2 linked regions of the Arabidopsis thaliana genome follow. The protein of the gene in region 1 interacts with the protein of each later gene in a pairwise test. Each region holds a gene or a part of one and is shown on either strand. Other genes may lie near its edges. The genes, in order: SPL7 and AT1G55460.

What was found.
Region 2: the proteins of SPL7 (region 1) and AT1G55460 interact in a protein complementation assay, tested with the Arabidopsis thaliana proteins (one study listed by BioGRID).

The regions. Positions count from the first base shown.
Region 1 is NC_003076.8:6,267,438-6,285,388, reverse strand, and holds SPL7 (squamosa promoter binding protein-like 7), read right to left. Parts: upstream 9,400-17,951; 5' UTR 9,274-9,399; coding exon 8,723-9,273; intron 8,327-8,722; coding exon 8,154-8,326; intron 8,003-8,153; coding exon 7,776-8,002; intron 7,703-7,775; coding exon 7,628-7,702; intron 7,526-7,627; coding exon 7,418-7,525; intron 7,102-7,417; coding exon 6,984-7,101; intron 6,868-6,983; coding exon 6,732-6,867; intron 6,507-6,731; coding exon 6,353-6,506; intron 6,279-6,352; coding exon 5,718-6,278; intron 5,465-5,717; coding exon 5,177-5,464; coding exon of another isoform or gene 5,162-5,176; exon of another isoform or gene 5,093-5,161; coding exon 5,027-5,092; 3' UTR 4,822-5,026; downstream 1-4,821. Other genes in the region: AT5G18840 (Major facilitator superfamily protein), read right to left, coding at 1-5, 93-139, 225-309, 401-574, 663-727, 810-951, 1,138-1,203, 1,306-1,365 and 3 more; Cpn60alpha2 (TCP-1/cpn60 chaperonin family protein), read right to left, coding at 11,236-11,526, 11,631-11,834, 11,996-12,246, 12,328-12,634, 12,757-12,902, 12,986-13,193, 13,314-13,435, 13,566-13,716 and 1 more; SCL28 (SC35-like splicing factor 28), read left to right, coding at 14,231-14,406, 14,510-14,587, 14,798-14,962, 15,068-15,126, 15,250-15,289, 16,119-16,304, 16,458-16,464; AT5G18800 (Cox19-like CHCH family protein), read right to left, coding at 16,996-17,128, 17,898-17,951. UniProt on the Arabidopsis thaliana protein: Transcription factor that participates in reprogramming global gene expression during copper deficiency in order to improve the metal uptake and prioritize its distribution to copper proteins of major importance.
Region 2 is NC_003070.9:20,700,103-20,714,822, reverse strand, and holds AT1G55460 (DNA/RNA-binding protein Kin17, conserved region), read right to left. Parts: upstream 7,517-14,720; 5' UTR 7,257-7,516; coding exon 6,021-7,256; 3' UTR 5,796-6,020; downstream 1-5,795. Other genes in the region: ZKT (protein containing PDZ domain, a K-box domain, and a TPR region), read right to left, coding at 29-105, 193-287, 400-506, 595-1,001; AT1G55475 (uncharacterized protein), read right to left, coding at 2,237-2,294, 2,456-2,708, 2,795-2,846; AT1G55450 (S-adenosyl-L-methionine-dependent methyltransferases superfamily protein), read left to right, coding at 7,998-8,174, 8,589-9,215, 9,294-9,387, 9,485-9,549; AT1G55440 (Cysteine/Histidine-rich C1 domain family protein), read left to right, coding at 11,363-13,324. UniProt on the Arabidopsis thaliana protein: Promotes the copper deficiency response by direct interaction with SPL7. Acts with SPL7 in a common pathway to promote copper-responsive genes and alleviate oxidative stress during copper-limiting periods. May promote SPL7 function when copper is limiting.

The sequences.
Region 1 (17,951 bases):
GGCACCTGTTAAAAAGGAATCAATCTGTTTAAACACTAATAAGAGTACAGATCATCATAGAGTTATCGAGTGAAGCGAAAACGTTTCTCCACCTGAACACAAGCGATAGCGATTGTTCCTAGTTTCCCAGAGGTAAATCCTGCAAGTGTTTTAAACACATATGTTAGAATCTAACTTTACTTGGTTCTGATACAAGAAAAGATATCGAGGTCTATCTTATATACCGGCTTTTACAAACGTTTCACTTGCGTAGAATCCGATCCCATTGATTCCAACAAACTGTTGGAATACCATCAGGGAAACACCAATCTGAAGAACATTCGATCACACATGAGTTTAATGAATCAAATATATACAAAAGATTGATAAATTATGTTTTTGACTTCTTAGTTAAACTTACGATGACAGATCGACCATATTTCTTGGACACAAGGTCTTGGATTCTTGCTTTTGGAAGAATCTCTAGAGCTTGAATCGAGACTTGAATACCGTCTGCTTCATTTGTGATATCTGCATCTTTTCCTCGCAGCTTTTGCAGGGCTACGCGAAACTCTTTCTCATGGCCTGCTTTTGCCTGCAAGAGAATGAAATATTTAGATCATGTTTTGGATACTTATATTTAAAAAAGATCGATAAAAATCATGAATCAGATAGAAAATTACCAGCCATCGAGGAGATTCGGGTATGAAGCACAAGCCAAAGAGCAAAACAATGCAGGGAGCAAGTCCTTTGAAGACAAAAAACATATTTTGATCAGTTTTCAAAGGGAATTTCTATAAAGAGTAACATAGAAACAGAGAGAAATTTACCGGTTAGGGCAAGAGTTTTCCAAGAAATGAGAGATCCGATCAAGAAAGAAACCGATGAGCCGATCACAATCATGAGTTGGTTCAGTGTTGTGAGTCCACCTCGGAGATTCTTGGGAGATATCTCAGCAATGTACACAGGGACCTGATTTGTTGCATTCAGTTACTTTGGAGACTGAGAGTTTTATAAACATTGGTTCATAAATATCAAAATAATTTGCCAAAACCAGTAGAATTAGAATCACACTGCTTTATCTTTGACTACTACATAAAATGTTGACTTCTAGAGTTATTATGTAAGATTTACTTGGTGAAAAAGAGAGTAAATTACCACATAAGAAAAAACTCCAATTCCATATCCTGTAAAGAACCTTCCTACATCAAGTAACAATGCCCCCTGCACCACATTTTAACATCATATTAAGATCAAAATCTATACTAATTTCAGCATATGTAGTTTCGGTGTTGCAAAATAATTGAAAATAAGTTTCTGTGTTACCTTGGTGAAGAAGACAGCGAGCCAACCTGTAATGCAGAAGCAAGCTGATGTCCTCATTGCCTGAAATGAGTTTTGACATATATAAGCATTGCTTTTTATTTTTTAGTTGTATTATTGGCCCCTTAAGTTTACAAGGATTGGCAAGATATATTTACCCCTTTTCGGCCGGAGAAATCTGAAATTTTCCCACTCATAACAGCACCAAGCATTGCACCGATAGTTAAGATGGATCCAAACATGGAGAACTGCATTTTTCACACAACACACAAAAATGATCTCCTATATACTGTAAATTTGTAGTAAAAATATATATAGTTAAATGGGATTAGTTGAATAAAATTGGTCCATATAGCACAGCCATATTAACTAAATAGGTAAAAAGATAGCTAGCTATGTGTAAATTTTTTGCTGTAGCTAAAGATGTAATTTAGACAACCTACAATGTTTGTCCATTAGTATCATTTTGCAAGAGTATAACTATGTTTCTTTCGTATTAGTTACCGAAAATCACAAATATTAGCTAGATGTCCAAAATTTCGACAAAGCAATATTATTTGCAAGTCTAATTACATGAATTTATGAACCAAACACGCCGGAGTACCGTACATTTTTTTTTTGTTTCCTTCCATTTTTTGGACCGCGGTTTTGTGATTTCCCCGGAAGTTAAAATATTGTAAGTTTAAAATTTTGAAAAATCCTAGTTGATAAAAGAGTTCAGGAAAGAAACTCTGGTTCAGCCAGAAGTATAGACACAAACCTCTGCAAGGGAGAGATTGAGATCTTGTCTTATAGATGACTGAGTAGGCGCTGAGTATCCAACCTTTAACAAATAATTACAAAAGAAAATCTGAGAAAATAGTTTGGTGAATTAATTAAGACAGAGGCTGGCAACTATAAAGGAAACTTCGGATTGAAAGAGAGTGTTCTCGCTATAGGCAAAAACTTACACAAGAGCCAAACTCAAAGGAGCCACAGACAGCAACAAAAGTACTGAAGAGAACCATCAAATATGATTCATTATTCTCACTCTCTTTTTCATCATCTTCATGAGTCAAAAATGGTTTCCCAAGATCTTCTACCTTATTCACTATTTCACCCCTCTCTACATCTTTGATTTCCCTAATGGCCATCCTCTCTCTCTCTAACTCTTAACTCTTTGAGAGCTGAAAATTTGCAAGGAAAGAGAGAGAAAGAGATAGATGTGAAGAGTACTTTGGTTCGTGAATTAGGTATTTATAGGTAATAGATGTATGTAAAGTCTCGACATGGGACGAAGATTTTTACAATATTTGTCCTTCGACGGCAAAATAGATTAATGAAATATTAAATGCGATAATGATTGAGATTAATACTGACAAAAATAGTTCTCATGTGGGGACTGTGATGAAGCTCTCACTGACTTGGCTCTGATGTTTACCCCTAGAGTTAGTCATCTCCACTTCATTCTCTTCTTTTTTACTACCTAATAAGTTTTTCCTTGTTCTTTTACATTACTATTACTATTTATATCTAATCTTTCAAGTAATGTAATCTCATAATACTACGACTTTCCTTTCTTGTGAGATTCAATGTAATTTGTAACTGTATACATCGAACAAAACATATGAAGTTGTTTTTCACGTTTAAGTAATTCATTATTATTTTACATAAAATTAAAACAATTGTATCAACTTATATAAAACAACAAAAGTTTATAAGTCTTGATATTCATGAAATGGAAAACATGTTATTTTAAAGATCGAATTGATCATACAATTTTCTTAATACCTTTTTGGAAGGGTTACAAACTTTAATTTTTACTCGTCACTAAAGTACTATACGGCTGTCGCACCTGCCTTACCATCTCAGCCGGCACTGACAATAAATCTATAAAAATTGTTTTGAAACTGATTTCGGATTTCATGTTGATATCTTACCATGTGGGTATTTTCCAAACTAGCCATAGTGATTGCGATCATGTACCCATGTACGAGCTTCAGCAATATTTTGTCCACATTTGCTTGCTTTTTTTGGGTCCACATGTACTTATATACTAGATTTGTTTGTACATGTTTATTGGTTTCTTTTTATGATTTATTACGTAATTTTGTATACTGTAATATCTAACTACTGTCACTACTAACCTCTAAATTGTTCTGAACAAAGGCAAAATCGTATCAAAATTCGTCTTTAAAGATATTTGTGGATGCGTTATGTTCATGCCGTTGGTAGGATTTCATGCATGGACTTTTCTAATCCGACGGGTTATCTTACTTCTAGATCATCAAATTAATAAACATGAACTAAACTGTACCTTCCGTTAATTAAAGCACATTTCCAAGATGATTTTTTTTCCTTCTGTAATTACAAACGAAATCGATATAACCGTTTTGCGTATTTTTAAAACAGTGATTTTAGGCTATCGTACAACTCATTTGAGTCATGTGCATATCATTTTGTTCAATGAATCATGTGATGTGTTGTTTGGCGCAAGTTCTAAATTTTCCAATATTATATGTACACGTACGGTCGGACATTATTTTGATGTACCAAATCATATGTTTGAACGCATGACATCACTCATTTTGGTGTGCGGGTATAATGATGAGTTCAGCATTATATTTTTCTCTTCTGAAAAATATAAGGTGTTATTACATTTGAGGAAAAAAGGGTGTTATTACATTTTTTTATTTATAATAACATAATAACTAATTGACAAACTGAAATGAATCTATAAAAAGTATCTCCAAGACGTATTTTTTTTTTTTTTTGTCAAAGGTAATGAGACGTAATTAAAATGCAATTTCTCTACGACAAAAAAATGAAAAAAAAATGCAATTTAATTCTCTACGTTAGCTGTTGAACAAACGCAGCAACCACGCGTAGCATGCATATATTTAAAGAAAAATACTAACCTAACTAATGACTGCAAAAGTGAAATGAACTTGTACAAACTTTTTCGGTGAGAATTGAGATTGTATCTTGCATACGTCCAAGTAATCTCTAATAGTTTTCTTTTGTTAAAGAGAAATGCTTCTAAGTTTGAGCAAACTTTTAAAGGCAAAATAGATTAGTCTATGTTTAAATTAGCACGTTAAAGCTAGCGTTTGATACGTTTAAAGAAAGGTGAATACATCTAAAGCAAATAAATAAAATGTTAGAATGTTGTCGTTTACCAAAATATATGACTCAGAACTGACGCATTTCCTTATATGTGTGTCTCTTCGTTGTTTTCAAATCTCATCTTCTTTGTCTTTTTCTACCCATTTGCCTTCTATGTTGCAATCAATCTCAGTGCCGATTTCTCAATCCAACATGCATCTTAATACAGTTGTACTTCAAAAAGAGAAGAAAAGAATAAAACCATCTCAAATTATTATGCTACTTGAGTACTAGTTAATCTATTGGACTGACAATAATAATAAGAAAAGTCAAAGATAACATTTGATAATAGAGGTGACCAAACAGAGTTTAGAGAGATCTCAAGAGCCAAGACATTGCTTGAAGTAGAAAATTGCATAAAGTTACGATTAGGATTTGTTCAAGAATCATTTCTTAGACCAAGAAACAAAGAAAAAACAGGTTACAGTGAGCAAAAGTAAACCCTAATATACATAAAACACTATTCGACTAGAGATAATTAATCACTGATCTGAGCATTTCTTGTTATTACAGTTGCAGCATCACCGGTCTTATAGAAATTGGGAAGAAGAACACACAGAAAGAGCAAGACCTCATCTGATCATATCCTGTCTCTTTCTGAAGGGAAACTCTCTGAGAAGCTGTTGTGGCTGAGCTCTGTTGAACACTCTTACAGCTCTCTTCGAGCTTTTTGATGCACACACGTTAATGAGAGTCTCTGCCGTTGAACTTATATTCAAATTTTGTGTACCAATCTCATTCGGATTGCCACTGCAAGCTGTGTGACCTTGTTTGGATGGTAGAGAACCGCACAGACAGCAAAACAGACAGCGAACGTAGCGATTAAGAACATAGTTTGACGGGACCTGAATGCTAAAGCTGAGTGCGTTTTTATACACGACTTCCTTGGCCAGTCTCCTATGTCATTTACGTTCATGACAACCTCTTTGTTTAACAGAGGATCAGTCTCTTTTCCGCCGCTATCTGGTGAACAGTCTGCCTGTATTCTCTCTTTACAATCTAATCCTGCTTCAGGATCCTGTAAACATAATAAATGGCAAACATTAAATAACAGAAACTATGCAAATAAACCAAGAAACAGACACAATATTGTGCGCAGACTCCTGTAATATTGTCACAATGTGCCAAATATACCATAAACACACAAAAGTTAGTGTTCAGCACTCAGGAGTGGAGCAAGAAACCAAATGTGCAAGACAAGTATAGATTGTGGGCAGAGTCCAGTATAGATCAAACAGGAAAATAGGGGAAGTCAGATAATAGTGAAAAACCTTATTGAAGTTTAATATTCTTGATGGTATGTCCTTCTGACTACTCACACAACAGCAACCTGACGAAGGAGGATTCACCTTTGACTCTATAGGGCTTTGATGCTTTCTGTGAATATCACTCGCCAAATCCATATTTTCATGTAGAAGCCTCACGTCGCAGTCACAGGTACAGTGAACAAGACTGTCTGGCTCCATTTTCTTCACCAAAGTTTCCAAATTGTGCAGTACGTTTCCTAAGATCGACGCTGAGTTATTCTGTATCAGATAATTCAACACTCTGTTGTATCTTTTTATCTGACATCGGTTCACAGGTTGCTCAGTGCGTTCTGCAGAGGGTACCTTCACCGACCATGCAATATCTAACAAGAGGCCACTAAAGGTGCTCTGTCTCTCCCCAAAATCCCTGCAACAGCAAGTCAAAGAAGAGCAAGCAGTAACTTCTTGTCCCTCTGGAAAGAGTGTAGCATTGAACTTCTGCTCTATTAGTTTCATTTCGGAACAAACAGCTGCATCTCCAATAATTAGAGGTATGAAATTTGATAGGCCAGATTCATTTTCAACCTACAAAAGGATTAGATGAGGATCGTATTGAAATGAGCTACTTCTAAACTGTATATCATCAAACAAATGGGTACCTCGACAAAGGCAGGGCCAAAGAGACTAGGGTCAGAATTCACAATATTGATCTTGTAGAACTTGTTATTACAAGAACGCTTCCCATCCTGGTCCGGTGCAGGTACAACAGAATAGTTATGTGGCAAGTACTTCCCAGAAAAAGACACGAGAAACCTACAATGAAACCATTATCTGTAAGCAGCATGTTTTTCTTTCGTATATGGAACAGTTTAGTAATCACAAGTGATAAAAATCAAACCAACAAATGATGGGTAGTAATCGAAATGCAACATTTTGAAAGTTCTTGCAATATCAGCTTCCTCATATGAGAAATAAGACAGAACTAGAAATGCGAGAGATGTCTGAAGCATAGCTCAAAAAAAGGGTTGACATTAATACCGGCATTTAGGTTGCAGAAGGTTTTGTCCACATACAACGAGTTCAATTGGTTTTCCAGCTTCAAAACATGTAGGATACACAAACTGAAGTTTCGGCGACTCTAATTTTACATCGACTCTCTTTAAAGTTGTTCCACCTGTCAAAACCAAGACAAATAAGTATTAGTTCACATTAATAGCTCACGACATTATGGTTATCCAATATGATAGAGTGAAAAAATCCAGAGAAAACAAGTAAAGCACACCAACTTGCCTTTAATAAGACGGAAAATCATGTTGTTCAAATAGACAGTCATCGAGCCTCTTCCAAACAGCATCTTTCCAGGTTTAAGAATAAATTCATCCAGATATGCCACAGGATCTTTAGATAACTGTTTACAGGAACAAATTGGAAAAGTTTATTACAGTGCAAAGTCAAAAGAGAGTTCACGGGAAGAGATACTAAGTTTGCATTTTCTCCCTCCAGGGCAAAAGCTTCCAAATAATGGACAATTTTTAGTAACAAAAGAACTTCAGGTCACACAAAAACGTAAGAGCTTTAATGTGTATATGGTACTTAAGAGGGTAAGGTGCATAGAGAAATAGAGCATATCTCGAGACTACAACCTACTGAAAATAAACAATTTCTTATGTTGTGTCGCGGCATCATGAACATGAAAATGATGAGTAAAAGATAACAGGATGTACCTTCGCCCACATAATCTCTGGCATTGCTATAAAGACAGTCAAAATTGTACATCCTGGGCGGATATAGCCCTCCAGCTCAACAGGCATGTTGGCCAACCATTGAAATATCTGCAAATTCAAATTAATCGCAAGATATTAGTTCTTTGAGATTCTGAGAAGGTAAACATAGTCTTTGAACACTAAACTGTAATATATAATTCTTGAGAATACTTGATGACGTAGTCTCCGTGGGAACTCCGCTGGATTCCAATCGTAGAGCTTAAAAGAGATCCGACCAGTTGGACACTGCAATGAAATGGGAAATTAGTTCATTAAGTGCACCGATGTTTTTGATGTTAGAGGCTGAAGAGAAACTCACCACAGTTGAGTAAGCACTTTTGTTGTCGCCATTAGAAGGTGAACGTTCAAATTTTGTGTCATTCATTCCTTCATCTGGTTGAGCTTCACCCGAACCTGTAACAGAGACAAAGTTGTCTGCGTTGATGCTTCGGGTAAAAGGTACAGAACCCTGAGTGGTAATATGCCGATCTTCAAAAATCAATGAAGGCTCTTCTTCAGCTCTCTGGTCACTAGAGCATGTGATATCTGCTTCAAAATGATAGCATTGACAATCGAATCAGCTTGAATTTCCAAGAGAACTCTAAACGTTGGTAACTAGCAAAATATGCAAAGCAAACAACTAAAACAAAGAAACCACATGGTGATATGATTTGAGATTTGCGCAGTTCACTTATACCTTTTCCATCCTCAACATCAATGACGCTGTTATCATTCTGTGAAAGCACTTGCTGTTGTTCTGCAGCAACACCTCCTTTATCTACAGGTTTCCTTTTCCGTCTGTTGTTGTGACGCTCTAGCTTTCTCCGACAGCTGCGTTTTCCTTCATCAAAGTCCGGGAGCAAATGAAACCTGCCAGATAGTACTACTCACTATAATGATGGATAACAGCATAGATTGAAAGAATTAATACAAACAATAATACTGCTAAACAGAAGTTAAGCTCAGCTTATGCTCAACAAAGAGACTAAGTAAATTCCGTGGGATCATTCAAACTGATCAACAGTCTCTCCCAAAGTTATCCAATTTCTTAACAATAGATTCAAAGTCTCTATCCCAATCAAACAGACAACAGAAACCCATCCCGATCTTCGATCATTTTGTGCTGCAAATCAAATCTGAACAACACCTAAGTCAAACACACACAAAAATCCCAGGAGGATGCATAGGAGGTTAACTAAGACAGTTCCCGCTGGATTCACCTATCAAATCCAATTCTTATTCTCAAAGCCAAGAAAAGTAACATACTTTCCACACTGTTGACAGTATCTCTTATTCTCTCCATCAAGCACAACAAAGCTGGCGGTAGCGCAACGGAGACAAACCCTATGCCTCTTATGGTACCCTTTGAGCTCGCTAATATCCGCTTCACAATCCGGAACCTGACATCGAGCCACGCCCGACCCGCCGCGAACCCGTTTCTTCTTCGGAAGCTCGGCGTCTTCCAATTTCTGATCAAGCTCAGGACACGAACAAGGAAGCATACCTTCAATGAAATTGGAACAAATCAACCTCGGGTCTCGCTTCCTAACCCGATCCGAACCAGAACCCGATTCTTCCGGAGAAGGATCTAATTCAGATTCCGCCGGAGTTTGCGTCGGAATCAGAGGCGGTAGAGGAGGAGAGAGAACGGGAGGGAAATGAATTTGATCGACGAGAAGGCGTTCGTCTGCGGCGAAGTCAAGGAGATCTCCCCAATCCCATAAAGCGGAGGAATAAGTGGAAGGATCATCGTTAACCAATGCCGGGGGTTGGATATCCATCTCCGGCGGTGGTGGCGATTGCGACAGAGAAGACATCTGAGAGTCTTCAATTTCTGATAAAATTCAGAGAAATATTGAAAGGTCCATCGGTTGTTGAGGAAGTTGGTGATTTTGGTTGAAGGTTTTAGGTAATTTTGCACAAAGTCATCAACATCTCCGAATAATGCATTTTTACATTACTTTTTTTTTTTGACATCTCAAAACTTTTTATTTCTTGAGTTATTTTATGGAACTAAATAAAATAAATTATCTAAAATAGTCTACATTTTTTTTTTATCTGTGGAATGACTCAATCAACAGAGAACTCGTTGAACTAATAAACACAATCATGATTAGTTAATCGTGCTTTAATAGTTTATTCACATATTCTTTTTTTTTCTTGCCTAACTTATATAATTCAAAAATTCTTTGCGGCAAAAGACAAAAATCCGAAAATTCATCATTTCACAAATAGCACTAATACTATTTTTTTTTTTTAAAAGAATGTTTTAATTCAAAATTAATTGATAAAAATCCTGAAAGATCCATTATCTTTGCATAATGAAAATGTTAAAATCATTTTTTGATTTACGATGTGAAATATTCTGACAGATGACAACTTAACACAACTAAAAGTAGTTTGATAATTGATAGCACAATCGACTCGTTTTGGAATGGTTATTGCATATGGTTCAACTTATTACATCTTGTTATATAATATCCAAAAAGGTGTATTTATGTTTTACATTAACCAGAAGTAGATTGCTTGAAAAAATTGTAATATAGAAACGTTCTTTTGTTGCATAATAAACAGAATTCAAAAGAAAATTCTTAGAATTAAAAACCCTAACTACAGAAAAAAATTTTGGGAGACAATATTTGGGACACTTGGTTATATAATTAGCCTATAGGTTTATATTTGGGAGTCCCTACTTTATAATTAGCAAAAGAAAAAAGAAACAAAAAGTGGCCAAGGAGGAGGTGTTGAGCTATGTAGGAGGAAGTGTCGGGACGTGAGAGACACGCGCTAAATGATGGCAGCACATGATTGGTTGAAGGGAGGTTCGCGTGTAAGCTACGTGAGTTTGAGGAAATCAACGGTTCATCAATCATTATCGAATACGACGTCGGTTCAGTGTTACTTGGGACGTGAGCGACCCCAAGTGCTCTCTCTCTCTCGCTTTTTTTTTTTCTCCAATAATAACGGTGGTGGAATTTTGGTCTTCTCATTCCAAGCCATTCACCACCAGAAAATAGACACGTGTCTCATCCACCATGTGCTTACTAAGTTACTATATACCCTTTTGTGCTTTATTTTGTTTTGTTTTCGCAGACAGAAATATGACATGGTTAATGATTGGTATTAAGAATATGTGCTATGAAAATTGGAGATTAGCCCACTTTTCGGATGGGCCAGTCCGGGCCCAAAAATAAATGATGACACCATGAACAATTTAAACATTAACCCACATATGAAACCGAGGAAAAACACAAGGGTCTGGTAAGATTAAGAACCCGAGTTCGATCTCTGTAATTCAATTGGAGATAAAAACTACTGATTGTCGATTGAGAGCTTATTCTTAATGTATTGAATTACTCCAAATACGTCTCGACATAACCACATAGGCTACAAAAGTTTAATAAGATGAAATTGCATAATAATTGAGACTTGATGACGCTTTCTAAGCACAAAACTGACAAAAGAAAATAATATAAAAGATGTCCGTATACACATTCAACTAGGGCTTACAGCGTAAGAATCTTGCATTACAAGGCATTTTCTTGCTTTCTCCGAAATTTGAGGCTAACTACTAGCTTAGCTAACACAATAAGCAACAATGATTCCAACAATCTTTTTTTTCTTTCACTCTGCACATACCATTGCATCACAGATTCTAATGTTTAGTTAAAACACAACAAGATTAAACACCACTTTGTGAGCAAAGGTTTAGATTCTGACAAAATCTGCAGTAGAGAGTTTGGTTTTTGTGCTTCTTTGTTACCTTTGGTGGTGGTTGGTTATGATGTGGGTATGCCAGGAACTTGAGGAACAGCAGGTTTAGGTTGCTTGATCTTCTCCACGAGTACTGCTTGAGTTGTGAGAATAATGCCGGCAACGGAAACTGCGTTTTGAAGGGCGAATCTTGAAACCCGACAAGGATCTGCGATTCCAGCGTTTAGAAGATCCTCATACTTTCCAGACATTGCGTTGTAACCACTTCTCCATTCGAGTTCTCTGGTTTTCTGCACCACAACTGATCCATCAACCCCAGCATTGGTTGCTATGGCCATTGCAGGTGCAGTGAGTGCCTGCAAACAAAAAAATTAAAGTGATTTTTCACTCTTAAAAGGTTACTTTACGAATCCAGTATGGTTAAGAAAACATGTTTTGTTTTGTCATTACGTTTTCATACCATTGCTACAATATCTGCACCTATTTGTTCGTATGAATCTTCCATTAGATTCTTCTTGATTCTCGGTATCTCATCTAAAAGATGGATATAAGTAGCACCACCACCTGGAACTATACCTTCTCTCATGGCTGCAAATGTAGCATTCTTCGCGTCCTCTATTCTTAGTTTTCTGTCCTCAAGTTCTGTTTCAGTGTGGCCTCCAACCTATATTGAGACAGGGTTAAGCTGATATATAGGACTCAAAAGAAATATCAAGAGCTGAAACAGTATTTTTTATTCTTACTTAGGTAGAAATTATGTTCTGATGAAAGCCCAAGTTGTCGCAGCATATTATAAACAAAGAATGGGTTATTGTAAAATCGGACCTTTATTACAGCCACGCCTCCTGTGAGCTTAGCAATTCTCTCTGCTATTTTTTTTGAAAGATATGAATTATCTGTCTCAGCTAGATCCTTCTTCATCTGAGCAATTCTTGCCTGAATCTCTGGTTTAGTAGAAGCGTCTGCGACTATAGTTGTTGAATTAGCTGTAATTACTACTCTACGAGAAACACCCAGCTGATCTGAAGTTGCACCCATGAGCGACATGCCTAAATCTCCGGAAAGATAATCAGCTCCTGTGTATATGATTTGTCATGTTATCACCTGAAAATTTTCAGTAAAAATTTACTTGGAAAGTACAAATGATTGAGAAAAACCTGTCATGAGTGCAATGTCTTGTAGCAAAGCCTTTTTCCCATCCAACATTCCTGGACATTTCACAACTGCGACATTGATCAAACCTTGCTTCTTGTTCACCACCAGTATCTCAAGCACTTCCGCAGAGATATCTTCTGCAATTATAAGGAGCGGAACACTCAGTTGTGAGGTTTTCTCCAGTAACGGAACTAATTCTTTGGCTGAAGTGATTTTCTGATCCGTCACAAGAATTTTAGCTTTGTCGAATTCCACCGTAGATTTCTCCTGATTTGTGATGAAATGAGGCGACATATAGCCCTTGTCAAACTGTACAAAAGAAATTTCCTCATGAATCACAGAAACTCAATGGTTTGATAATGTTAACAATGGTAAGTGTGAAACTGCCATTGTGAAGCCTTTAAAACATCCAACTTAAGTTTGAAACTAACCTTCATTCCTTCCTCAACTATAACAGACGTTTCTGAAGTGGAAGATGATTCAATGGAGATGACACCATCAGGGCCAATCTTTTCCACAGTCTCAGCAATCAAATTCCCCACAAATTCATCGTTACCAGCAGAGATTGAAGCCACAGCTACAGAACACAAAAAATCCCTATTATTTCAAAATTAAGACAGGAGTTGGATCATAATTATTTAGTAATAAGTATAAAGTAACCTTTAATATCATTCTTCCCTTGAACAGGAATACTTTTCATCTGCAACACCCTGACCAACTCTTTAACAGTCTTATTCATTCCATTCTTCACAGAAACAGCATTAGCTCCAAAAGCAATAGCCAAAGAACCAGCTTTGATCATTTCTCTAGCCAAAATGATTGCAGTGGTTGTCCCGTCACCCGCTGATTCGTTCATTTTAATCGCAACCTACACAAGATAGAAACTCGCAAGGTTCAGATAACTAATTGATACCATTTAGAGCTCAAAGAATGAACTAACAATGGGGAAAAGAAGGGGAATCATTTAGCCACCATGAATATGAATAACCTCTTGGATTAATGTTGCTCCAGCGTTCTCAATAGTGTCAGGAAGCTCAATAGATTTAGCAATGGTGACACCATCGTTAATCACTTTGATTGTATCTTTTTCAGCAAGCACTACATTACGCCCTGCGTCGTGGTTTCCACATTGAAAAAAAATCAATTCGAAATCCCAGAGAAGGGTTGGTTTGCTCATAATCAGATTCTGCCCGGAAAAAAACTTCAAATCGTAGCCAAAATCGAAATCTAATTCACTAACCTCTAGGGCCTAAGGTGATGGAAACAGCATCAGCTAACTTATCGATTCCGGCTTGGAGTTTCTCTCTGCTATCTTTACCGTATAGTATTCTCTTAGCTCCAGCTCTCACCACCGAGAATTTTCGAGGTTCGTTCCTCTGTCCACTACGGCGCTACAAGAGGCAAGAGCGAGAGAACGTGAAGATTATGGGGAAAGAAATTGAGGCGAGAAGAAGAATTGTAACTCACCGGAGAAATGGTTGTCGGCGAGAATGACGACGGTGATACGGCGAACATTTCGGGTGTCTCCTCTCCTCCGGGAGGTTTATCGAAGGGTTTTGATTTTTATTTTTGGGTGACCGAGTTTTTGGAACCGGACGAGTCAAGGTACGAGTTTTTTCTTTTTTTTTGTCAACAACTTTGACACAAAGCCTTTAAAGCTTTGATTTATATAAGCCCATAGTTTGCAAATTTGAAAGCCCATAAGAATTAACAAACAAAGTCAGACCGTAGCCAGCTTCCGGCAAGTGTTGTGTTTTGAAAAACTTTCACAGTCGTCGATTTCTTCCTCTCTCCCTCCAAAATTCACTCTCTAACTCGTTTTCCGACAGGGTTAGGGTTTTGCTATTCAATTGCTCCGAAGATTGGATTTGTTTGAGAAGAAGACCTAAGGAAGAGAAATCTTCGATGGCTAGAGCGAGAAGCCGGAGCAGAAGCTATAGTCCCCGTCCTCGTGACAGGTCACCACCTCGCGAACGGAAAGGCTACGACGATAATCGCCTCCGCGAACGTCCGTCTTCTCGTGATCACGAATCCTCTGGTCCTTCTGGTTTGCTTATCCGTAATCTCCCTCTCGATGCTAGGTCTCTCCGTCCTTCTCTACTGTTCAGATTCCATCAAGGACATCACAAGTTCTCTAATGTTGATTAATTGACACGAGTTTTGGAATGTTTTCTTGTTTTTCAGGCCGAACGATCTTAGGGATTCGTTTGAACGGTTTGGTCCACTCAAGGACATATACCTGCCTAGGAATTATTATACTGGGTATATGTCAAGCTTTGTCTTTTATAATCAGATGCTTTTAGCTATTTCCTAGCTTAGCTTTAGCTTACTGGTTATTTCTCTTAACAATGTCACATTGTCAATGTGTATGGATTCTTGACTAATTTGATTGGTAACTTTTGGTGTCAGTTCAAGTAGTTGTTTGTTGAGTAGGAACTCTTAACTTTAATGTGATATTATTTTGTGGTTTAGGGAGCCGAGAGGGTTTGGATTTGTTAAGTATCGTTATGCTGAAGATGCAGCTGAGGCAATGAAACGAATGAATCACAAAGTTATTGGTGGGCGTGAGATAGCCATTGTTTTCGCTGAGGAGAACCGGAAAACTCCACAAGAAATGCGTACTACTAACGGTACAAGGTGAAGAGTCCGTTTTCTTGTGTTTGTATCATATTTTTATATGAATGTAAATGTTTTGTAAGTAATTATCTTAGTTACTTCCAAATCCTATTTCGTTTAATATAGTGGTCGACACGGGGACTACAAGAGGACTTCACACAGATCACCAAGGCGCAGATATCGTTGTAAGTAGCTTTTTGGTTTGCTTTTAACATTTTTGATATGTCTCAGGACAACTGCAGTGTATGGTTAGAACAATACCTATGTACCCTGTGATGTTTACTAACTATGTCCTTTCTTGTCATCAGCTCATTCACGTTCGCGTTCGCCTCCAAGGCGAGAGTCAAGGTTTGATTCTCATCTATATCTATTAGGCATTTGTTATAATAGTGTATGATGACTCTCTGTTTCATAAGGCTCTTTATTTATTCTTGGAACTCGCTCATGTGAATGCAAACGGCACTGGTTCCTAGTCACTTAGATTGTCTGTCAGTTGTGTGTGGATAATACAATGACAAGGCACAAATTGGACACGTCTAGGTTGATAAGTCTTGTAGAAAAAATGTTTATTAGGGTGTCTGTTTTTCCTAAAATCTGAACCTGAAGACTTATTTCACCAAATGTCATCTTCACCAGCTTTGGTAAGCTAGAGCTTGAATACCACTTGGTCAACAAGTTATCTATAACTTTAGCAAGAGAGTTTTGTAGGTACTATCTGTACTGAATTGAGCTTGACTTGTGTTTTGTTTTGCGTATGCCATTTTGTCATCCGGTCAAATAATGAATGAATAGACTTATAGTGGCCAAAGAAAGAATGGTATTTGGAGAAATAGAGCCATTCAATGTTGTGGACAGTAGAGAAATTTCACAAGATTAAAGATAGGTTTTGTTCCATAAACTCGGAGAAATGAGAGATTTTGGAGCGTTTTGCTCCAGAAAAGTTGGAGAGAAGAGATCTTTCAAGTTATAAATGTATCTTCCAGAAAATGTGTTGAAGGTAGTCATTAGATAAAGAAACAACTTTTCTCAGTTATAGCGTGAGAAGGAACAAAAGCCATTTGAAGAACATTAGTAATACGTTTTCATTCTTCTTGTATTGTATGTTTAGAACAAAATTAATTGTCTCAGTATGTAAAAGCCGTTTTAATCTTCTTCTTTTTCACTGGCACAAGCACAGGCATAGTAAAGTAAGAGAGGATGATTTGTACTCTCCTCGAAGAAGGTCAAGATCTATTTCACGTTCTCCTTTGCCTCGAAATGAGAGGGAATACAAGTCTAGAAACTGTAGAAGTCCTAGAGAGGAGAGGGTGCTTACTCCAATCAGGTCTCGATGTCTGTCAAGGTCCCGTTCTCGATCCTTAAGGTAAATAAATAGCTGCATTGTTATTTAATCTAAATGCCTCTCTAGATCAAGGACTAGAGCTAGCGCCATTGACATTTAGTTTGATTCACTCACATCCAACTCTATCTCTATTAACATCTGTGATGACTGATGATGAATGGTGTTTTGTTGCAGTCGTTGATAAATAAGAAGAAGGAATGGCTTTCTATAATACTATTTTGGCTTTGAAGTAGGCAACTTCCTTAGTGAAACATAAGAGGAATCTGAAGTTTTACTATAAATATTTTTGCTCTTTTTGTTTTGTTTGTTTGTTTCATTTTAGATAACCCAACTTAAGTTCCATTCTCTGTTTTGTAACAAACCTTCAATGTTTCACCAATATCCACAAGCATAACCACAAGATCATAGCAAGACATCCTAGCTGTTGGATATGGTTCTCTAACAGTTTTTAGTCACAAAATTACTAGTATACTGTCAAGTATGGTAGAATATAAGCAGATAAAAACAATTGTTCCATTCTGTGCTGATTAGTGAACCATCGAACAATAAAACTGAGTCATTTAGTTGTCTTTGGAACTCACTACGAAAGCATCTGAGAGGAAATAAATGGGATGACAACAAACAAGAGATGGAGAGAGTAAAGCTCATTCAAAAATGAACATTTTGCTTTATTATGAGATACAAATCAAAACATGACAAGAACTTGTGATTCTCATTTCAAGGGACACACTTTCTCGAAGGCTTCTTGCTCTTTCCTACACAGATCAAACTCGTTTGTGTAGTAATACATACACCCAACATAATCATCCATCTCCTTTTGGCACTTCTGGTGAAGATCCTTCAGCCTGCATAATTCATACAACAAATTTAATGCTTTACCGAAGAAATAACATAATATCTGCATGTGGACCCAACATTATTAATCTACGATCTCGATGATGCTGAAAGTCTTCTTATATTGATATTATTAGAGGATTACATCATACTAAACAACTTCTGCACATCCAACTAAGTCTTAGACCAACATTTTTAGGGAAGCAAATGGCTTCTTAATGGCTTATAAGTTGAGGAAAAAACCATGAGAAGTTGTGGTATGAAACTGTTTCTACTTGGCCAACATCTGAGAGCAAGGATATATGAAACAACCCAATTTCTACAAAGATTGTAATATGTCTGAGTGTAATAGATAGTTCCTCCATGAAATACAGTCTGAACTCTAAAGCATATACAAAACCAGAGCTCAATGAAAAACGATTTGATGGCTGATCTAAGCTCAACCTATGACTTCCATAACTACTTAAGTGTGCTTTTTTTATGGTCTCATGCCCATTGCTAAGATGATTCCACGATATTGTCACAGCTATAGTCAGATACTTTGGCTCACTTAGTTTAGCACAAAAGAAGTGATCAAAGTCCCTACAGTTCCTAATTTCTTGAAATCCAGAGACCCAATCGTTTCTTCATTCAGGTCTCATTTCTGAATCCCAGGCTTACACTCTATGATTAGAATCCTAAATCAACCATTTGATACTCGAGGCTTCCTAACCAAAACCAAAGCCAAAACTACTAAACTTGCAAAGTAGAAGGAAAATATAATGAGCTAAAGATACGTACAAGCCAAGCACGCAGCGAGTGACGTCACGACCTTTGTCGAGACACTTCTCTGGG
Region 2 (14,720 bases), on another chromosome or scaffold:
CCCTTTGGTATACTCACTAAGTATTTACTTGGAAAATTGCAGCCCTTCACGAAGATCCTTCTCCCGTTGAGCTTTCTGTTCTTTCTTCTTCAAATAGTTTTGCATCTACAATTATAAAAACAAAAACAAAGCTCACTCACAAGCCAAAGTTCATTACTTTTGATGTCACATAATCAAAACTTTTGAGCTCACCTGAATCTCTCTCAATCTACTGCTAATGTATCCGGCATTTCTCTCAGCTCTTATGATCTCCTTCTCTGTTAACTCACCAGTATCTTCAGCCTTACCTGCAAGAGAAGAAGACACAACACATTTTAAACATAACCAAACCCAATAATGAGTTTTGCAGAGAGAATAGATAAAATAAAACAGAGCTAGAATATGGGAAATTCAACAAACCATTTCTCTTCTCCATTTGCATAAGCAAGGGACCAATTCTCTGACGAATTGTGTACATTGTCCTACCGTACTCAGCTGCAGGCCAAATCTCTGTTCCAAATACTGCACTGCATTCTCAATTTTCAAAGTTCCAAGTCAAAACTTTCACAGTCTCTCAAGCTAATCACATTGGAACATGAAGGAGAAAGAACAAACCTTGTGGCAATAACTCTATCGCCAACAGTGAACTTTCCGGTTTTGTCAGCTGATCCACCTGGTAAGATAGCATCAATGTAAGTGCCACCATCTCTTCCTTTCCTGAATTTCAAACCATAAGGCTGCTCCACTTCAATTTCATATGTTTCATACTTCTCTTCTTCTTCTCCGTCTCCTCCTGCTTCAGCTTTAGCTGAAGACTCTGTCTCCGACGCCTTCAAAGCTAAATTCCGGCGTTTGGCAACATGGGTATTGCATAAAGAAGCCGAATTGCTCGAAAGGAAGAGACTTTTGGCGGAAATGAAACTGGATTGAGTGATCAAACTAGGGTTTTGCTTGGTTTGCTGGGTTCTTGGCAGTGAAGGCGAAGAATACAGAGATGGATAACTGCTCGGAGCTAAAGACATGGTGAGATTCTTTTTCTTTAAGTTCGAGCTCAGACACAAGCCAGAGCCAGAGAGACAGATGATGATTAGTTGGATTTTGTTAGTTGAAGAAGACGATTATGTGACGTTGGTTGGTTTTTCGCAAAAGCTTCAAAGTTTCGGATTACACAAGTTTGCATGATTTTAGTGGCTATGCTTCAGTCTTGGTGTTTCGCCACGTGTCATATTGTAATGGTACCTTTAGTTTGATCCTTTTTTTCTTCTTCATAAATTCGCATCTCCCTTCAGTTGGATTCGTTTATTACACAAACAATTGAGTTTTGACTCAATATGACCAGTTCTACAAGAAGACAAGGCAACATGACAGAAGTGGTAACGTTCAGAGCAAGTGTCATTGGCTCTCTAAAGAAACAGAGGAGATTCTAGTTTCATGATTCTTATGTCGCCCGCAAACAATAACTCAGGAAAGATACTGAGATCCAAATCAAGAATGAATCACCTCTTGCTCCTAACAGATTGAGCGGTGAGTTTTGGAACAGATGAGTCTTAAACCAGTTCTTGGGTGCTACAAACTTCTTTCAATTACATACTTGTGGACCACAGATCTATTCACATTCTTGATGGAATTCACTGAGCCTCTGGTAAAGTGGAAGAAATTGAAAACAGAAGTGCTCCAAAGCCTAAGCCTTGAGATATAGTCTGCACTATCAAACTTGCTGTTTTTGCACCCAAATATAATAGTGATAACATTTGATTCGAGTTTGACAGAATTATGCTAACACACCAAGAGCAATATCTATACAGAAATTCTTACTATAAATGTAAACAATGGCTGCGTGAAAGACAACAAGCAATAGTTTTCTCTCAAATTGAAGTAAGCTGTCACTTAGACATTGATCAAACACACTGATATCAAAGTCATTTGAACTAAATCGCAGAACTAGATATCGATGCATAGCAATTGTTATATTTGAAACTTGCTCCACAATCTGAATGAGAAAGAACTTCATTAAATGATTGAAGCAACGAATGAAGTTAAAGACCTATACTTTAAACACTTCTAAAGAAGAAGAAAAAGAATGCTTCCGTGTTAAATCAGGAATCATCATCATATGGCTTCAAGCGTGCAAACTTAAGAATGGCTATAGAACACAAATGCAGATTCTATATGTACCTCCATGTATATGGAATTTAATGCTGAAGCCACCAACTTTGTCTTTTGCCTTAAATCTCCCAGTTAAACTTAAGTGGACGGATCACAGGATAATACAAACACAGGTTTTGCCTCGATCAGAATCAATATCATCTTCATCACTGCAAAAATGAAAGAATCACATCATTCTCCACAAAACAAGTACTTATGAAAACTTAAAGAACTCATTCTTAATGAAAAGAAACCAAAACAAATCTGATGCCATCAGAAAAAATCCTTATGACCAAACTCATTCTTATATTCTCAACAATAGAAGACCAACCTAGGTTCAAATTCTCGAATCTCAGCAAGTTCCTTCCCAATCACATCCACCCATTGTACCTTCTTCTTCTCCCTCTTCTCAGCTTCTGTTGAATTTGAATCAACCTTTCGAAGACTACTTTTGAGAGTGAGAGTGTCCCCAACAATTTGACCTTCTTCTTCCTTTGCATCTACTTCTTCTCTATCCTCAGCATTCGTAAGACCATCCACATGTTCGAGAATCTCTTCATGATCATCATCATCATCACTAGTGGCTGAAACAACAGTTTTCAACTTCAGCTAACTTGCCACATATAAATGGCTTCCAGATGAAACAGAAAAAAGGGACACTGGATCTTACAAAGCAAAACACTCATCAAAACATGTATTGAGTCTTTTAAACAGTTGATCATCAATTGGAGAATTTGCTTACACCTCTTTGAATAAAACTTAAAACTTTGAGCGCAGAGAGCTAGTTTTAATTCTGGATTAGAAGAAGGAAACAAACGCAGACAAAACCCCAGAAAAAGGGCTTCAACAGAATCAAGTATAAAATCCTCTTTAAGAGAATCGAAGAACCAAAGATGAGGAAACGGACAATGTTAATGCTTATTGAAAAAGTAGAGATTCCTTTTAAGAACAATCAGCGATGAAAAAGCAAAGATCGAAGGGGAATGAATTTTAAAAAAGGCAGATACTTTTCTGATTTGAGAGGGACAACGAGAGAGAGAGTACGAATTCAAAAACCCTGGATTTCCCTGAGAATAAGGAAATAGATGAAGAACAAATTGATCAAGCCGTGGACTTGTAGACTCCTACTGTTGTTAAATATTTCTCCCTTTTTTCTCTGTTTGTTTATTTGGGATTTAGGATTTTGACAACCAAGTCAAGAACCAACCAAGCTTTATATAACAGTGGACCAACCGGAAAGAAGAAAAAAAAAAAGGTTTGCTTTTTCAGTGCCTACCTAAAGGAATTGCTTTTTAAAGACTTGTGGATTTGCCTCCTAGTCCTGCCCAATTAATTAGTTGCCACTGTTTTTGTTGTTTGCAGTCTCCTACATTTATTATGAGAACAGTGGTCGATACTTGGTCAAGTTTTCTCCTACCTAAAACCCAAGTTTTTTCCTATTTTAAACCCAAATTTTCTTATTTGTGAGAGATAAGTTTCAAGACTTAATACTTGGTCAGCCAAATTCTTGTCCAAAGAAGGTAAAGAGGTTCTTATAAAATCTATAGCACAAGCCCTTCCGACATATGTTATGTTGTGCATTCTATTTTTTAAGGCTATTTGCTCAAAGTTGAATAGTGTTATTGCAAATTTCTGGTAAAAAACTAATGAAAATAGTAATGGTATCCACTGGATTGTATGAGATAAGCTTTGTAATCCACACTTTGAGGGCGATCTTGACTTTAGAACGCTAGAAGAATTTAATCTAGCTCTTTTAGCTAAATAACGGTAGCGTCTTATCTGGGTACCAAACTCTCTCTTGAGTAGGGTCTTGAGGGGGAGATACTTTCGATATAGTGATCCATTACATATAGGAGCCTCAAATCGTCCGTCTGTTGGATGGAGAAGCATCATAGCTGCCAAACCTCTTCTTGTCTCGGGACTTCGGAGGACCATAGGTTCGGGAATGCTGACCCGTGTATGAGAAGATCCATGGATTCCCACCATCCTTGTGCGGTCCGCGACGAGCATTCTTAACATAAGAGATCCCCTACTCTATGTAAATGTTTAATCGACCAAAACACAAAATTTGTGGAAACTAGACCGTCTCCAAGCATTGATCGACCCCGTTGATATTTCACCTCATTTCAGAGATTCGTCCAAACGGTATCTACTTGAGTGATGGTTATAGCTGGTCTTATACTAAATCCGGTAATTGTACTGTTAAGTCAGGATATTGGGCCGCACGTGACATGTCTCGTCCTACTTGTGACCCCCCTTTTCAGGGACCAGGTGTTTCAGCACTTCAAGCACAAGTATGGAAGCTTAAAACTACGCGGAAACTTATGCATTTCGCGTGGCAATGTATCTCTGGTTGTTTAGCCACTTGTCAAAGATTGACATATCGTCACAAGGGTACATATAAAGGTTGCCCCCGATGCAGATTAAACAGAAGAGACTATCAACCATCTCCAGTTTCATTGTCCACCCTCGAGACAGATTTGAGCATTATCGCATATTCCTACCTCACAGAATATTTTTCCTAGAAAGTCCCTTTTCTATAATTTCGATTTCTTTTTTGGCGTGGCCGGGAATTTGGAATCGGAGAAGAAGTGTTGGAACTCTTTCCATGGATACTTTGGTATATCTGAAAAAGTAGAAATCGCTTCTAGAACTTTAGAAAACCTCTTGTTGAAACTTTAACTTTGGCTCTTCAAGAGGCAGATGTTTGGAAACAAGCAACTCTAGCAGAAGATGCACCCATACGCTCAATTCCTCCCCTAAGTTCTTCTCAAATCCCGCTAACCCAGCTCCCTGAATGTCAACTTGATGCTACTTGGCATGTTGGATGAGTCCTTGTTGGACAAGACTTACTCCTCCATCTTGGCATCAAGAGTACTCATCGAAGCTTATCACCGTTTCATGCAGAATTTGACTTTTTGCTATGGGCAATAGATGCATGATCTCTATTAGCAATACTTCTGGTACTTTTGCTTCAGATTGTTCAGACCTAATTTCTATCATTGACAACCAAGACGATTAGCCGACATTCGCAGCGGAATTGGCTTCCTATCGATCTTTAGTTTGTTTTTTTCTTCTTTTCATATTAGATTTCTTCTTCGTAGTTTTACTGTTCGAGATGATTGTTTAGCTAAAAAAGCTCGGGATCGAAAAAGTCTTTTCTCCCATGAAAGCACATCGGTTCCTGAATGGCTTTCTCTAGCGGAGAGTTTATTACCGATTACTTAAATAAAATAGTGTTTGTGGGGGGGAAAAAAAATTAGTCTCCTACATTTATTGAAATTTCTTTACTTAATTAGATCGCCAAATTTATGAACTTGTTTAGGTCAATAATTTCGATGGTAAAAACTAAAATCATAAGACAAAAGAAACTCAAACCTTTTTATATGATTTAACTTATAGAATAACTTGTTACATATGATATGTTTGTATGAAAGAAAGAAAAGAGAACCGAGAAAAATAAGAGAATGAAAAGATGAAAGAACAGAGAACAATTTCAAAGATATCTTATATAGTAGAGAAGTTAATGGATAACTTGGTTTTATTAAAATGTCGAATGCAACATTTCTAATATTCTAGTTAGGCTGCCTATGTGTTTAACTTCATGCCTTTCATGACATTTCATCTCAGTACTTGGAGTTTACTATTCAAGCTTCGTTTGCAAACGCACATTCAAAACATCATAAGATTTCTCGAAGATACTACACAGTAGCCATACATAAAACAATTCGTTCTACAAACCAGATCGAATAACATGTGTGAAATAGATTCATCTGCAGTACCTTTTTAACGCGGCTAGCTATCAGGAAACAGAGTGCTTCACTTGTATATAAAAAAAAGAGGTTCAAGCAGAAATACAAGGCATCGTAAAACCCGATATGGTCTAAAAGATATAACTAAGCAAGTTTGCATATGTCCTCGTACTCAATGGACTTGATGACTCTTCCATCATAGACACCTTTCTCGATCTGCACTTTAGCACAGAACTTCTCTGTATCCACACCCAACAACCTTGCATTCGAACCACGATATGCCCCATTCACTATCTTCACCATCCCTCCAATTTGTGGAAGCACAGTCTCTAGCTCCTTTTGATCAACTCTCAACACATGTTTAGAATCAAGCATTTTGATCTCCCCAACATAATTATCAATCACTTTCTTCACAACACCTTTTTGCTTATAATACCCTTTCTCTGCCAAAGCCTTACTCATCACCTTCACAATGATCCCTTCGAACAACCAGTAATCTTTCCGATTCATCCTCTCCTTCTTCTTCTCTTCCTCCTTCATCAACTCATCCAAAGCTGATCTCCTCTCCTTCTCGCTCCTCCCGGAGTCCCCACTTCTCTTCCTCTTCTCCCCTCTCTCAACCTTGTCATTCTCTTCATCCCCAAACAAAAGTTTCGAGCTTTCCCCTCTCTCTTTACCCGTAGCAACCTGTTTAACACCTCCACCAAGAGCAAATCCAACCTTGACCCCACTCTTCAACCTCAAGTCTTCATCTTTCTTCCTCTCATCATCACCATCATCCACAACTTCATCATTACCACTGGTTTCACCTTCACCACCACCACCATTCAATTTCTCAGCAGCTCTCTCAATCTGTCTCTGAATCTCCCTCTCTTGCTTCTCCTCCTCAGCTAAATCACTCTTAACTCTCTTATTCTTCAACCTCTCCTTAAACAAAGTCTCAGAATCTCTATCTATATAAGTAATAAACCAACCTTTAGGAGTTTCTTCAACCTTACACTTACCAGTTTTCCCAAGATGCTTGATAAACTCCGTCAACGTCGCCCACTCCGTCGAATTCATGTGAACATGATGTCTATCGTTAATATACTCATTGTAGACAACAGTGGCAGCGATACGAGAGAAACGGTGGCTCCGCCTCATCAGATCGAGAAACGTCTGCTCGAATTCTTCAGAGTAACCATCGACAACACGAGTCGGATTCTGCCCAAAAACTTGCATCTGCCTCTGGTGAGATTCGCTCATACAATGACACTTGAATCCATTCTCGTCTCGGCATTGTTTCTGACACATCTGACAATACCATCGAAGCTTTTGAAGTCCTTTGGCTTTAATTCGATTCGCAATCGCCTTTGGGGTTAGAAAATCGTTCTTACCCATCGAATCTTCTTGGGTTTGTCGAACAAAATTAAGGTGTTGGGAATTGAAATCTAGGGTTTCTCAGGTAACAACCACTGATCGAGAATGATGAAGATTCAATCGGCGAAGATTAGCTAATATATTGATTGATGATAAACCGAAACTCATACCAAATATAATTGTTTATCCTGAATACCGAATACGACCCATCAATTAAAGCCCATACAATACTGGGCCTATAAGAAAAGAAATGTAAATTGTGGGGAAAAAAAAAGGTAAATTTACAACTTTATAATATATGCCTCAAATAATTTTAACAGCTTGTTTGGTCTTATATCTTGTGATCTTTGACTTTCAGTCTTTCACAATGGAAATTATTGAATCTTGCATTTTTATTGAATTAATTTCCTATTTGTAACAGAATACTATTATTAGAGATATATTGATTGAGAATCGTAAAAGATAATGTAGTTGTGTGACAAGTGAGATTCAAGAAAAGTCAACTATATACAACGAGAGTAGCAAAAAAGAAATAAATTCAAATGATTTGGAAAATTGAAGAGGGGACCAATTCTTGGGGGTAAGGAGTAGACTCGTCGCCAGAGCTGACTTTGAAAACTTGACTTGGTCTCATTCTTCTCATCTACTGCAAAAACCACAATCAGTATATAACAACAACACATGAGTGACTTAATTCTCATAGACCAATACAGAGATACAAAGCAATAGAACAACAAGAACAAGAAAACAGAGAAAAAAACAATGGCTGCCTTGTCGGATAAGTTAGCGGATGCTTACCAGAACGCAAGGCCGAGATATCCGATCGATTGGTTCACGAAACTTGCTGCTCGAACCGGTCAGCACAAATCAGCTTGGGATGTTGGTACTGGCAACGGTCAAGCAGCTATTGGTGTAAGCTTCTTCCATCTTGTTCCAAAAGTTTCCACTTTCTTATGTACTCTGCTTCACTTAGATCTCTCAAACGATGTCGTTTTAATCCCTCTAGAAGAACACAATTATGGATTTATTAGCTTTAGTTGAGAGGAGAGAAGAAGATGAATGGCTTCTTTCTAATGAGTTTATGATTTAATTAGAGCATAGATTTATCTCAATCGATACTATTAACGTCTAATGTTAGTGATGATTATGAATGAAGTACCAATTATTAACATTTTCACATTTTGAGAACATGATTTCTCTTGTTTTATTTTGAGAAAATAAAAGTTACTAATCTACCTCATTTATAATTATTAAACAAAAAATTTGTTTGGTTCAAATTTGTAATGGTATTTGTCATTGTACTATTCACCTAAAATGTTAATCAACATTTACCATGGTTTAATTTAATTGCAGCTTGCAGAGTATTTCGAGAAAGTTACAGCAACCGACATAAACGAAGCACAGTTAAAACGAGCGGTAAAACACGAAAGAATCAGTTACCATCACACTCCCACAACAATGTCCGAAGACCAAATGGTTGCTCTAGTCGGCGGAGATAACTCCGTTGATCTAATCGTGGCAGCACAAGCCGTTCACTACTTCGATCTCGCACCATTCTACAACGTAGCAAAACGTGTTCTTCGCAAAGAAGGAGGATTAATCGCAGTTTTTGTCTACAACGACATAATCATCTCTCCTGAAGTTGATTCCATCATGAAACGTCTTGTGGACTCCACGTTCCCGTTTAGAACTCCTGTAATGAATCTTGCTTTCGACGGTTATAAAACGTTGCCGTTTCCGTTTGAAAGTATAGGGATGGGATCAGAAGGGAAGCCTATAATGCTTGACATTCCTCATAAGCTATCGCTTAAAGGGTTTATCGGTTTCTTGAGATCGTGGCAGCCCGCAATGAAAGCTAAAGAACGTGGAGTTGAGCTTGTGACTGAAGATTTGATCTCCAAATTTGAAGATGCTTGGGGTGATGATGATGATGTTAAAGATATTTTCTACAAAGCTCATATGATTGTTGGAAAACTTTCGGTAAATAATTCATTTACTTAATTAATATCTATATAGTTTTGGTATAAATGAATCATTCGTTATTTATATATAATGCAGGCTTCAGATATAGAGCGGCATCGAAAGAGATTTGATACGAACTGCGTAGTTACAACACTAAAGGATCATAACAACTCGGCTGTTATTGCTTCAGGTTTGTTTTCTGAAATCTTTTCATTGTTTTTATCTCCAATTTAAACAATGTCAATCGAATTAACCAAATTGGGTTGTGTTGTGTTGTTAAATTATAGTGACTGCTGCTGCATTTGCTGGAGTGGCGGCTTACTGTGCTTACTCTGCAAGGAAGAACAGTTAGATCCTTTGAAGGACAAAGAAACGGTTTTCTGAATCTAGTGAATGAAATCTTTTTTATTTTACATGTTGACATGTTGTCATGTATTTATTTATGTCATTGATATGAGATGGTTAAGTAATATCTAAAGATTTAAGAGTCACCCAACACTCTTACATTCATGACTCAAGGGGATAAAATAAAAGTACAAGCATCCACATAATAAAGAAAATAGATTCTCACAAGTGTTCTTTTGTTTTTCGCTGAGTACGCGCATAAATAGATGCTCACACGTTCTTGGGTTTTAAGAAATTATATATTAAGCCCAACTTGTACGGCTCAAAACTCTGTAATATAGTCAAGGACATGATCAATTTCTTATAATTAGCATATGGGCAACTTACATCTGGGCCATTTGTTGATACGTTTCGCCTAATACCAAAACAACTCTAAACTCAAATTAAAAGTCAAACCTATGATTAGAATTTAGAAGCCTTTTGAAATTTGATCTAACGAGTGACCAAAATTTTTAGTGCTTCTAAATTAAATCTAGGATTTATGTTACAGAGACTTGATTATTGGAGGTAAGTTCAACGGAGATCTCCAAACATTGGTAAAATTGTTTGTCGTGGTCTCGTATATTAGGGAATATAGTACCTTTTATGAATGGCATAGATTTTTGTATTGCGCCATTTTATGGAATATACGTACTTTTAAAATATACTAGATGAGTACCCGCACTACGTGCGGGTTTATGTATTACTATTTACAAATTATTTTATATAATGTCTGTTCATATAAAATAAAGTTGAATGCATCGGTTTTAAAACATAAATATGATTTGTAATTGTTTTTGAAAAGTCCAACTATATTAGTTCATCTGAAAAACGAATGTGCTTGAGTTGTTTTTTATTGTTATCCTAGATTCTCAGTTTTTTTTTAAAATTTATATATCCCTATTTTTTTGTTATATGTTTAGATTGTGAGACGGTGAAATTTTAGAAAATATATTTCTTAAACTAAAAATATAACATGACTTTATTAACCATGTCTCTGTATCTTCAATCTAATCATGTAGGTGAATTTTAAAAAATTATTACAAATTTGAGTTAAATAGATAACAAAATGTGAAGTTGGAAAGATTGGCGAGTAAGATTCCGAAAAAGAAGACGAAGGGGATGAATTGGAATTTGGAAGGAGACGAAAGAGGTAAAACTGAAATGTCATTAATTGATTCATTATATAAAAGTTTGAGCAAATTACGTTTAATTACTTTTAATGATTTTTTTGTAAATATATGAAAATATGTGCTGATGTGTCAACTGCTGGATTGCTGAGGTGTCATGTTGTGGGAGAGAGTTAGACTTCTTTCATATATATGATTTATTTGGTATTTATGTTAGTCTCTGGGCGAGCGAGATGAAACATGTGTCTAGGCCTCTAGGGTCTTTTTTTCTTACTACAAAAAGGTCCCCAACATTTACATTTCTTTAGAAATAGGCCCCAAAATTCATATTTTTTTGAAAATTAGATTTTAAGTTTTTAATTAATCTTGCCTAATTTCTAAAGTCCCTTCAATTACGTAGGATTCATATAATCGTGCTTAGTTTACCTGGAAGCCTGAACTAGTTTTGTCTTCTCTCAGATCCAGCTGGATTAAGAGAGAGAGAACAAGAATCTTGAGTAGTTGACTTTATATTGGAACTGGTCTTTTAACTCTCTGGGCAGATCTTTTAAAAGGACAAATGCGAGACCAGAACGATATATGAGTTGAAAACCTTTTACATTACTTACATTCTCTCTCATTTGCTTCTTCATTCATTCCAAAGAAACACATATGGTGTATTCTAGAACTAAACCCCCATGTCGTGTGTCTGATCCGGCTCAGCCCCACAATCTTTGCAGACGACGACGGCCTTCTCCACTTTCTATCTGCTTTACATGCAAAGGCAAGAATTTAACGTGCAGAAAGTACTATTACTACTGTGCAACTTGCAATTTAGAGTTCCACAGAGGTTGTCACCTCTTTCCGCCGAATCTAAGACACCCTTTTCATTCCTCTCACCCTCTCACCCTCATCTCTTCAAACACACGCAACGGTTGGTGGGATGGCTCCTCCGGTTCAGAAGGATCAACAGATGATGATGATAGTGATGATGATGATCGTGATGGTGATGGTGATGGTGATGGTGATGGCAGCGTTGATATTGATGGTGATGATGATGCGTATGGCAGCGTTGATATTGATGGTGATGCTGATGCTGATGTTAATGTTGATGCCTCTTTATCCGATGGAAATCACAGGAGCTGCCGATGTTGTAACAAACCTTTGGACAAGACATATTATCATTGTTCTATCTGCAAGTTCAATCTCAACTTGCCCTGCTCGATGATGCTACCACTTCTCACTATCTCACACATGAAAAGTCATGAGCACACGCTCACCCTCTTCTGTACACGACTCCCTATGTCATGTGATGCTTGTGGCTTGTCTCTAAGCACACGCAGCACTCTCCTTTACACGTGTCTCCCTTGCAGCCACACAGTCCACATAAAATGTATCTATCTACCTCGTGTCATTCAGATCACCCGACACACACACCGACTCTCTTTCACTTTGTCCCTTCAACCTGGTGACTTCTCTTGCGGAGTTTGTCGCAAAACCGTCGACGTTAACTATGGGCAATATTCTTGTATTAAGGGATGTCATTATGCTGTCCATTCGCATTGTGCAACGAGGAATGACGTGTGGGATGGAGAAGATCTTGAAGGAGTGCCTGAAGAACCTGATGAAGATATCGAGCCATTTGTGAGGATTGATGTGGAGACAATTCATCATTTCAGTCATGAACATTATCTGAAGCTCCAAGAAAAGAAAACCATTTGCGAGAAAGACAAGTATTGTGTTGCATGCACGATTCCAATTATAATCTCTCGGAGATTTTATGGTTGTATGGAGTGTGATTTTGTACTCGACGAAGCATGTGCTTCTCTTCCTCGCAAAAAATACCTCCCAATACATAAACACCCACTTACCCTCCACCCCTTCCCGATTGGTGGGATCTCCAGGTTCGATTTTAATACAGTTGCTGCCAAAGACATATTCAAATGTAAAGCTTGCTACCGATTAAGTTGTGGTTTCGTGTACAAATGCGGTGAGGAATATTGTGAGTTTCAAATAGACGTCAGATGCGCTTCCCTTCCAGATCCTTTAATTCATGGCTGTCATCCACATGATCTCTTCTTCAACTTGACCCATGGTTATTGCATTGGGTGTAGACCACGAACCGACTTGACCAAGGCACGTATGCTCAGCTCACATGGGCCGGGCCTTTGTTCATCCTATGCAGTAGAATGTATTAAGTGCGACGACTCCTTTTTGGGTATGACATGTGCTAGTTTTCCTTGTGAGGCCTACTACAAGCACGATAGGCATCTACTCACACTTTGCTACGGTGACGAAAAAGATACAACAAGTGGTCAATATTGGTGTGAGATATGTGAATCAGAATTAAATGCAGATGACTGGTTTTATACATGTGACTCTTGTATGATCACTTTACATATCGATTGTTTACTTGGAAAAGATATGTACATGAAGCCCGGCCATATATTCGAAATAGGTGATGATGGTGATGAAGTTGAAATTGTTCACAATGATGGTAACTCTCGGCTGATTTGCTCTGAATGTAATCTTCATTGTGCACAGGCTTGGGCATTCAAGATGATACGTGGATACAAATGGTATTGCACTCTTAATTGTATGGGAAAAGGTCTTGGCCTTGGACGTCTCAATTGAAGGTAGCCAAGACATTGTGATCAGCGCATCTTATGTGTTTCAGGGCTTTCGTCGAATACACGTTTCTTAGGGTTTAATCTTTTGGTGTTAAATTTTATTTTTGTTTTCTTTTTTTTCTTTTGTGTTGATGAAAATGAAAATGATAAAATTCTGTTCTCGTTTTGGTTTTGGAGTCTATCAAGATCACTTTGCTGTTATTATATCTTTAGGTGTTATATAAGTAGAGTCCTTATAGAGACGTTGTCATTCATTCTTGCTTTTTCCACACCACATACTTTACTATAGTCCAAGTCATGGCGGATGTGATAAAGTTGTGGGAGACATTTGTGAGGGAGAGTCGGATAGATTCTCGAAATTAACGGGAGAAGTTAATGTAACGTATAACAGTTCTCAACTATGTGATAAGTACACAAAAAATTATTCATATTGGTTGACTATTATGATCATATATCAACTAAATTAAACAGCTGTAAATGTACACAAATAGCCACGAAGTAGTGAGGCTAATGCAGGGATCAAGTTTTGTCTACTTTAAAAAACAATAATAATAATCCGATTGTTTAATCATCTATATATCCAAATGAATCGGTTTCTTATACAACTGTTTGTCTTATTAAAACAATCCTCATTAGTTAGCAGCTCTGATTATGGTTTAATGCATGCTATTGATAAAAAAAAATATAAATTCACCTTTTTTTTTTTGTAGACATTTTTAAAAAATTCACCTTATGATGGCTTGAGTTTACATTTTTTTTTCTTTGTCGTACTTGAGTTTACATTTTACAAATTAAAATTTTCGTTAATTTCCTCTATGGTCAAGAAGAAAAGGTAAAAAAAAAAAAGACTAAGATATTTATAAATTTTGCATCAAGGAAGTGCTGTAGAAAATAAGAATTCCTTTTGTGGAAAAAAATTGCAAACTTTTTTTAATCTATATATTGTCGTTTTTTTTTCTTCTTTGGCTTTCTATATATTTTTTGTTTTTTTTTTTGTATTCCAACTTAAAAAGTTGTTTATCAGTTAGGCTAATTCTAATATTGGCTAGTTTATTGTATAAACATAAAAAGGAAAGTTTTGGTCTTTGTTTTATTTTAGTGTTAGTCTTTGTTTTTCTTTTTTTGAGGCGTTGGTCTTTGTCTTTCGTCTATATATGATTTACTAAGAAAACAACATGTTCTTAATTAACTGCACAGCTGGACCTAGATTGTCACATTCTATTAAGAAAGTAATTAGAAAAAAAAAGAGGAGAGTTAGTCTTATTAACCGCTAGTTGATTAATTAGATATAGTAGCTAACAAATGCTTGTGGTTCTTCTGGCTTAACAAAATTTAATAATAACCAATCATTTATAATTCTTAAAGTTCCTTTAATTATGTAGGATTCATAATCGTGCTTA